Linked DNA regions of Neodiprion lecontei. The protein of the gene in region 2 binds, or shares a complex with, the protein of the main gene of each other region. Links are inferred from orthologs where the notes say so. Each region holds a gene or a part of one and is shown on either strand. Other genes may lie near its edges.

Evidence for each region.
Region 1: eukaryotic translation initiation factor 3 subunit H (region 2) and eukaryotic translation initiation factor 3 subunit F share a complex: the UniProt entries of both Caenorhabditis elegans proteins name them as parts of the eukaryotic translation initiation factor 3 (eIF-3) complex. The link is inferred for Neodiprion lecontei from reciprocal best matches to the Caenorhabditis elegans genes eif-3.H and eif-3.F.

Annotation. Positions count from the first base shown.
Region 1 is NC_060265.1:19,772,608-19,777,525, reverse strand, and holds eukaryotic translation initiation factor 3 subunit F, read left to right. Parts: upstream 1-1,879; 5' UTR 1,880-1,931; coding exon 1,932-2,040; intron 2,041-2,344; coding exon 2,345-2,514; intron 2,515-2,684; coding exon 2,685-2,867; intron 2,868-3,471; coding exon 3,472-3,687; intron 3,688-3,855; coding exon 3,856-4,029; 3' UTR 4,030-4,112; downstream 4,113-4,918. Other genes in the region: 46 kDa FK506-binding nuclear protein, read right to left, coding at 1-901, 985-1,074, 1,296-1,305. UniProt on the Caenorhabditis elegans protein: Component of the eukaryotic translation initiation factor 3 (eIF-3) complex, which is involved in protein synthesis of a specialized repertoire of mRNAs and, together with other initiation factors, stimulates binding of mRNA and methionyl-tRNAi to the 40S ribosome.
Region 2 is NC_060262.1:35,038,150-35,041,945, reverse strand, and holds eukaryotic translation initiation factor 3 subunit H, read right to left. Parts: upstream 1,817-3,796; 5' UTR 1,627-1,816; coding exon 616-1,626; 3' UTR 545-615; downstream 1-544. Other genes in the region: coiled-coil domain-containing protein 174, read left to right, coding at 2,092-3,796. UniProt on the Caenorhabditis elegans protein: Component of the eukaryotic translation initiation factor 3 (eIF-3) complex, which is involved in protein synthesis of a specialized repertoire of mRNAs and, together with other initiation factors, stimulates binding of mRNA and methionyl-tRNAi to the 40S ribosome.

The DNA.
Region 1 (4,918 bases), on a different chromosome or scaffold from region 2:
ACTTCATTTTTCCCTAGACGGAACTTGAATCCATCTCCCTGACTGCATGAATCAAATTTTTTCCCATTTTTAAACCGTCCTACATAATAAACTGAAACAAATTTTCCAGCCTTTGCCGGAGGGCCAGACCCAAGTGTTAAATCCTCTATTTGTACACCACCTTCAATTACTCGTTTTTTTTGTTCCTGCTTTGAAGCTTGGACTTGCTGTTCAAGTTTGTTTTTCTTTTGTTGTTTAGCTTGCTGTTTCTGATCTTGTTTGACATCTTTGCCGTTCAGTAATTTCTGCTTTTCTTGCTTTTTATTCTGTTGTTTTTGTGCTGGTTGTTGTTGTTGTTGTTGTTGTTGCTGCTGCTGCTTTTGTTGTTTTTGTTTCTTTGTGGTTGATGAGGGTTTGACTACTTCCTCCTCTTCCTCCTCTTCATCCCCCTCGTCGTCATCATCATCATCATCATCATCTTCATCCTCCTCCTCTTCCGCGTCCAGTAGCGCACTTTGCAGTTCATCTGAATCACTCCCATCATCTTCTTCATCTAGTTCATCATCGTCATCACCTTCGTCAGAAGACTGTTGTTCTCCCTCCTCCTTCAGACGTTTCAAATGATTCTGAGATTGTTTAATGGAATCTGTGGCCTTGCGTTTACTTGGTTTACCAATGAGCTGTGGAATGTCCTCCTCTTCTTCTTCTTCTTCTAGTTCATCATCTAGGTCATCTTCTTCTGGTACTAGATATCCTGTCAAATGTACAAGACCGCTACCATTGGAACTAAAGGCTATTTCGGTTCCTTCTTGAAAATTGAGATCCAACGGAACCTGCAGCGCAGCTCCTTTGTTCAGTGTGCATAAAAGAAAAGTCCGATTCTCGTAATGAAGCATTACTTGAACAACCCCAGTATACGAGCCTTGAATAAGAACCGCATGATTATAATAATTTGAAAAATTCATATTGGATTCGGTATCGAAACGAAAAATAGAAGATTCCTACCTCCAGTATTTGTGTCCAAGCTCGCCATGGACACGTGAAACGACCGTTCTACGGTTTGCGTGTACCGTTTATTCGGCTCTATAATTAAGCCTGAAACAAACATTAACATACTTTTAGGTGGTTATATTTATTGGTCATTTTTTAATTCGGAATGACGTTAGACGAGGAATTTCATCCTCGCGTATGGAGCTCTTAGCCCGCACGCTGTGATAATCTTTATTGGAGATCACATGGCGACGCCATTCTTGAAATAACCGGCAACTCAGATCTGCTCAGATCAGGGGTAACACATGGCACTTGTTGGTACTTACCCCAAAACATATTGGCTATTTTGACCTACAATAAACGTTGCAATAAATTTAATGAATCAACAATCGTTTTCACTACTTCAATAATATATCACCGAAAATAAAAGAAACGCATGCACAGTTGATCAACGGTTTCCCGGTGCTCGGAGTTAGATCCTACTCGCGCCAAGATGTGATTGAACCGGCGGTAAAGGAACAGGCCATGAACGATTGAAGAGACTAGATAGGAATTGGTCATCATTTTTTTCATCTGGTACGATGAGTTCATGTTGATTCCTCGAGAGGCAGTACCAACGGTACCCTGATGAAATGAAAACCAAATCCAGTTTTTTCATCTGTAATGATCAACAAAACTTATTTTACAATATACAGAAATATTGACCATGCTGATGAAACATTTTTTTGGCAATTTTCGCATCACAACTTCAGTATTGTTTCAAATGAGGGCAGCTATTTTGCGGGCAAAACAACATTAATCACCGGACGTAAATGAGAACGAGAAAAGTGAGACACAACAGTTCACAACTGTAATTGACTAGAGGTAGCAGGATTCAGTGTTTGGGTTTACGATCTAACAGCGTTATTGTAATTATAGCCAACGTCTCTTGACCACTTTTGACCAACTTTGACGCACCAAAAATGGCGCTTAACCTCATTGTCAAGGTGCACCCAGTTGTTTTATTTCAAATAGTCGATGCCTACGAGCGACGTAATGCGGATACTCACCGTGTCATCGGAACCCTGCTTGGTAACAAAGAAACACAGAATAAACTTTCGACTACTCGTACGGTTTCTCAGAAATTGTGATAGCGGATAGACGAATGAACGTCGGACGTCACCTTCTACATGTCACATGTTTCCATATTATCAATCCTTTTAAACATTATAATTTATTAACGTCACGTCTACTGCAAATGTGAAATTTCAGCGAAATCTAAAAAGAATTGAATTCCCTAAAAATTTCTATACTTTTTCCTTGCAATTAGTACTCAAATTGTCATGTAAGTTCAGGTATTGTCTCGACAGAACGTATTTATCATGATTTTTCATAGGGACGGTGGAGAAGGGCATTGTTGAAGTAACAAATTGCTTCTGCGTACCTCACAAGGAATATGCAGATCAGGTCGAAGCCGAGCTGAACTACGCAATGGATCTGTACGACTTAAATCACCGAGTAAATGCCCAAGAAAGCATAGTGGGTTGGTGGGCTACTGGAAAAGAGGTACAGATGTCAAGAGTTGTGGTACTTTGCTTCCCATCTCAAATATATTTACAAGATGATAATAATATCCAAACAGTGAATGTGTTGGCTAATTTAATCAGACTTGAAAAGTATGCTCTTGATTTTAGCAACATATGTTTATTCATCAAGTTTTTTTCCTTGTGATCCAGGTTACCAATCACTCATCTGTCATCCATGAGTATTATGCCCGAGAATGCAATAATCCAGTTCATTTAACTCTGGACACAACAATGGCCAACACTACTAGAATGGGTATCAAGGCATACGTATGCGTCCAATTGGGTGTGCCAAATGGCAAGCAGGGTTGTATGTTTACACCTGTCAGAGTTCAGGTAAAAAAAAAATTTATGCAACTAGTAATTTAGCAATAATAGGTCAAGGTTTTATGAATTTTTACTTGTACTATGTTTCTGTGAAAAAACTAATTTTCATTATTCATCTCTTGGAGTCTATAATACTATATTGTGTTAGAAGTGAGTAATTGTGAAGTTTGCACCCCGAACAACAAAGGCGAGTGCTGCAGTTGCAGGAATACTAGTGCAAATGCAGCATGAGCCAAGGCGAGCACTGTAATAATATGATTAAGCAAATTTTTCCAATACCTGTAAAGGAAGTTCGATTTAAGAAGCACCAAATGAGCCACTCATAGCATATCAAATTGTGATTATAGAACATACGCTTAATGCAAGACACTGCATTGAGCAACGATTGAGTTGGTCGAAAGTACGCGTGTGCCCAAGAAATCCCTAGTATTTGCGCAAAAATAGTTTCATCACACTGTTCAAAATTGGGACACTTTACGTATGCCCCATAGGCTTCAAAAATTTAACCTGCCAAGTAGGTGTCGAAAAAATTCTTGTCTCACCTTTTTCAGGTACAGCTGCTGGTAGTTGCTCTGTTTGGAGTGGTAATAACTTGTACTTTTACTTACAACAGGTCACTTCTTATGAACCTGAGATCGTAGGGCTACAACTATGCGCTAAAACACAAACTTTACCTCCGGGTCAAGCACTTTCAAAGCAGGGGGGAGTAGAACCAATGTTAGACCTGGCACAAATAGCAGAAGCTAGCACTAAACTACTGACTTTGGTAGACCAAGTCCTCAATTACGTAGATGATGTTTTGGCAGGCAAACAAATTGCTGATAATCAGGTAACAAATTGACGTAGATAGCAGTAGGAATGAAAATAATTCAAAATGTACTGGGCAATATTTCACTTTCTATAACAAGAAATTTGGATGACCTTTGTACATGTTCGCAAGTACTGTACAATCAAGTATTGAAAATAAACAATTGAATAAAATAACATAAAATTACAGGTTGGGCGAGCCCTGTTAGATATGGTACATTCGGTACCTAAAATGTCAGCTGATCAGTTCGACCAAATGTTTAACAGCAATGTCAAGGACCTCCTCATGGTTGTTGCTCTTTCCCAGTTAATCAAAACTCAACTACAGCTGAACGAGAAGCTCACCCTTCTGACTACCTTATGAGCCAAAACTAAGCTCACCAAATAAACAGCACCAAGTAAAGCTAAGAGTAATGTATGGCTCCAATAAAAATCTGTAAAAACAAACTGATGTAACTAAATTGCTTAATCTAGTTTTTTATACATATATACATAACACATATATTTTACAAAACATCACAGTAGAAGATTCTTGAACGTTTGAAACTGTGCTTATTTCTACCATAGCTTCCAAACGTCGGAGGTCGTAGTTTGCAGAAAACCGTCTTGTGTTTTGTTTTATCACACAATGTTTTGTACAATTTGCTAATATTGAACCATAGTATATTTGTACGACCAAAATTACAAACTTTTCAAATCTTGCATATACGTTAAACCACATTATCACGCCTTGGAGCTTGTATTTTTTTTATATCTCTTTGTGACTGTATAGAACAAGGGCAATTTTAAAATCCTGGAAATATCGATATTGGTTATGGATTTAATCCAGTAAGTAAGTTTGTAAAAACACTTTCATATATCATCCACTAACTCTCTTTCAGAATTTCAGTATAACCTAATGTTGTCAGTAATTTGATTACTGTGAATTGTACCGTGCTTCTTCATTAGGCCTGATCAGGGAAAATCTAGATTCAATCGACAGGAAGGAGGAAACTACCAGTCCGCATTGAGTGCACTTCTGTTGAATTCTCAATTTTTTGTTTATTTACTTAAGATTCAACTCGATTAACGATGACAAATTCAACTAGAACAATTCAAAAAATTTTGCGAGTACCAAATACTGCGAATAATCCTACGTAAGTTTTCCATAGCTAGGGTATTTAAAATATGTGATAAACATTTTTTGTGAGTGTCCAGAAATTTAATCAGATTAAAGTTACAAATATCAAAGATCTTTTCATTAGCTGTATTAT
Region 2 (3,796 bases):
AGATTGAGCCATTCGTTGAAAGCACGGCTGCAACTTTGAAAGTGAAGCATACGGTAACCTGACATTACCAACAAAGGAATTAGAAGCTGTTCTGCGGAATTACCGATGCCAAGCAGAATTGTAACGCTGCATTATGCGCCTATATACTATGTACCGATTTTGCATGCGAAAATTAAGAGCATGTATATATACATATATATATATATATATATTTAATTCCAATAACGGTTGATGGAAGACTTCCGGGGAAGAAAATTGCACCATTCTGCTATGAGGATTCTATTTTATACTGGCCCAAACTAGCCCAGACGTGGCAAACGATTGCAACAAAGACCAGGATCTTGCAGTCAAAATATTTATCGTTTCATATTTACTTATCAAATATACAAATAATAAATCAACACTGGCAATATTGTAAATTGATACCATAGATTGCACAAATTTTAAGAATAAGTATTGAAAAACCGTTTGGAATAATTTGAATACACTGTAATATAAAGAAAAAAGAAGAAATAATATTTAGTTTAGTAATTAGTCCAATCAATGGTTTGAAAGGAAAACAGTTTTATTGTTTTCAATTGGAATACAACGAGTCTCTGCACAATAAGCTACAGATTAATTGGTAGACTTGGATTCCTTGGCATTCTGTAGACTCTGGGTGATGTACAACTTTGCCAAACTTTGAGAACAGAACTGCGATATGTGCTGACTATAGGTGTTTATCTGTCCAGCAACGATCATGGGGTTCAGCCTGGGGGGAACAGGCAACGGCCTGAGCAGCTTGTTGATATCGTCATCGGGTAGAGGCGCCTCGTCCTTAGCAGCCCTGGCTGCGTTCTCCTGTGCCCGCTTTTGCATCAAACGATTCTTGTCTTGTTGCTGACGAATAACCAAATGCTGATGACGGTTGAACTTAATAGCTTCTTGGTTCAGCTCATCTACTCTGTCCATCAAGCACCTCAGCTGGTTTTCCAGGACCGTGGCGGTACCGAGGTCAAGATACTTGGTTCCTTCTTCTTCGGGAATCATTTCCTCTAGTTCAGACATCATGATGTTTGTAAGATTGCTGTTCTTTATGACAATCGGCACTTCGACGAATAGAGATTCGTAGCCAATTTTTAACGTGCGCAGCGCATCGGGCGTAAATTCTCCTTCCTTGTACATTTGGATCGCTTGTGGAGTCAAGCGATAAGCCTTTAGTGTCAAAAAGCCCCTAGCAGACTTGGCCGTGTCGTAAATAACCACCACTGACTCTTCGATGGATGTCTGATAGTGAAACTGCGATTCCAACAGAGGATGGCTCAGAAAGTTTCCAACGTCAGCGCTCTGGTACCAACCAACGTGAAAGTGGTCGACGTTCACTCTACGCAGCCTGCGCATCATGGCAAGTTGATATTCCTCTTCATCCATGGTTTCATCGTTCTTGGGAAACGGAAAGCAGTTGGTGATCTCCAGCCGATTGTTGACAACCAAACCAAGCAGAGCACCCTGAGCGACTTCCATGTTGCTCGTGGATTCTTCATGACAGTGTTTCACCATTTTCATCACTGCCAAACCGTCGGTCTGAACGTAATCTATCCGGGACTCCGTCTCCGGTATCCTCCTCGATTGCCCTCGCGTTGTCATTTTGTTCAATTAAAAAATCACCTCTCTTGTGCACGAAGCGTTGCAAATTTCAACCACTCAATTTAACAAAAACCGTGCTTGATAGATAGGCAGATGGAGGACGGTACTCAGCTAGGTTAGGAAGGAAGGAACGACGGAAACAGGGCACAGCCAAAACCACCGGACCCGGATCAAAAGGAAACGTCAGAAAATTTTCGAGCTGTGTACTAGCGTCCTCTGAGCCGACGGAGGTTTTTACAACTAATTTTCGATAGCGCGTACATACATACGTGTCTGTATTCAAACCGTATTTACCATCTCGAACGCAGTCGATAATATAGTGCATCAAAAGTATGCAAGCTAAATTAAGTTAGGTTAGGTTTGGTTAGACAAATCAGAATCTTCCTGCCCTTCCTGCCAATATACGTATATAAACGTCAGTAAACAGTGAAATGGTAATAAACGTCAAATGATTTAAAATTGAACATGAATAATTCAAAGAAAATAAACGTGAATTATTCATCATTAGTGGGTTTGAAAGCTGAGCTTCTGAGGAAACAAACCGAAGTTAAAGACGCGAAAGCAAATGCGGAAGTAACTTCTATACAGTCTAAGCACAAGGTTAGGACTAAAAAGTCCAAGACGAAAAAAGTAAAAATTGAAAAAGAACTAATTGACACCGACGATATAAAAGCTCACAAAAAGTCGAAGTTGATGCTCGAAGCAAAAGCTAGGCTTTACGAAAATTTGAAAAGGTCACACAGCAATAAAAACGAACATTTTCTGGTCGACTTTGGTAACAAACCACAGTCAGAAGATGAGAAATTCGATTCGGATGATTATGAAGATGCAAACTCTGACCCGGAAGAAGACTGGGTTGAATACGAAGACTGCTTTGGACGGACAAGGAAATGCCTCCGTAGAGATTTGTCGACAATGCAGAAAAAAGATGACTTTGTAAAGCACGAAGTCATGAAAAAGTCCCAAGGAGATACCGAAGTTGAGGATGTCAGGCCTCCAGATGTTGTCACACCTCCGAAAGAGCCAGAGATTGAAATAATGCGAAGAAAATGGGAGGAGCAAACGGAAAAGTTGACTGAGAAAATGAATATTCATTATCAAGACATTCTCTTTGACGAAGCGAGAGCCCACGGCGTTGGATACTACGAATTTTCCCAGGATGAAGAAATGCGAGCGAAGCAGCAAGCAAACTTGGATGCATTGAGAAAGGAAACCATACAAAAACAAAAGGAAATGCAAAATCTAAAGGAAATGAAAGACAAAATGGAACAGAACAGGCTAAAGGCGGCTAGAATACGACAGAGAATAAGGGCTGGACTGCCCCCTGAGCCCACGGACGAGGAACTCGTGAAAAATGATGAGGTGAATACAGACAAGATGGAAGTTAAAGCAGAAACTGAAGAGAAAGTCGAATCTGATGAGAGGAAAATAATTGAATATAGGAAAGAAAATTCACTTATCGAAATTGAGAACAAGATAAAAGCTTTTGGCGAACTGCTTGGTAAAAGAACACAGTGGTATGAGATGTCGCAAGAAGAATGGGTCTACAAGCGGAGAAAAGATAGAGATGAAGAATTTGCCCCCTTATACAATAATTTTAGAAGTTCCGGGTATTTAGAATCCAAGAATACCGATCAGGACAAGGATGAAAGCTCAGCATCGCTCGATGATAGCTTATCTGGTAAAAATGAGGAAACCTCCGAAAGTCCTGCTATTATCGAAGAATGTGGCACAAAGAAAACGGCCGATCAACTCGATGGCACGGATAATCAACAAAGTCATATTCCGCATTCTGAGACTTCTACAGAGTTATCACAGATTACCATGCCTAAGCAAGTGATTAGCAATGCTGACACAGAATCATCGGATAGTAGTGGTTCAGATGTAATCGGACCGATGCCACTATATACCGAATTACCCACACAGCATGTGAATTTTCAACAAACATTCGCTACCCTGCCAGAAAATATGAGAACAGAATTATCAGGCATTGATTTTTCGAAACCACCTCCAAATATGCAATTTGGCCTTACTTCAGATATTTTTAATACTGGTCCAGAACTGGTACCAACTTCAGTCCCACCCCCGAATCGCGATTGTTTACCTATGGAATATCATCTACCGGATTCTACATTGTTGAGCTCAATAACTGGCGTGGATTCAAGTAAAC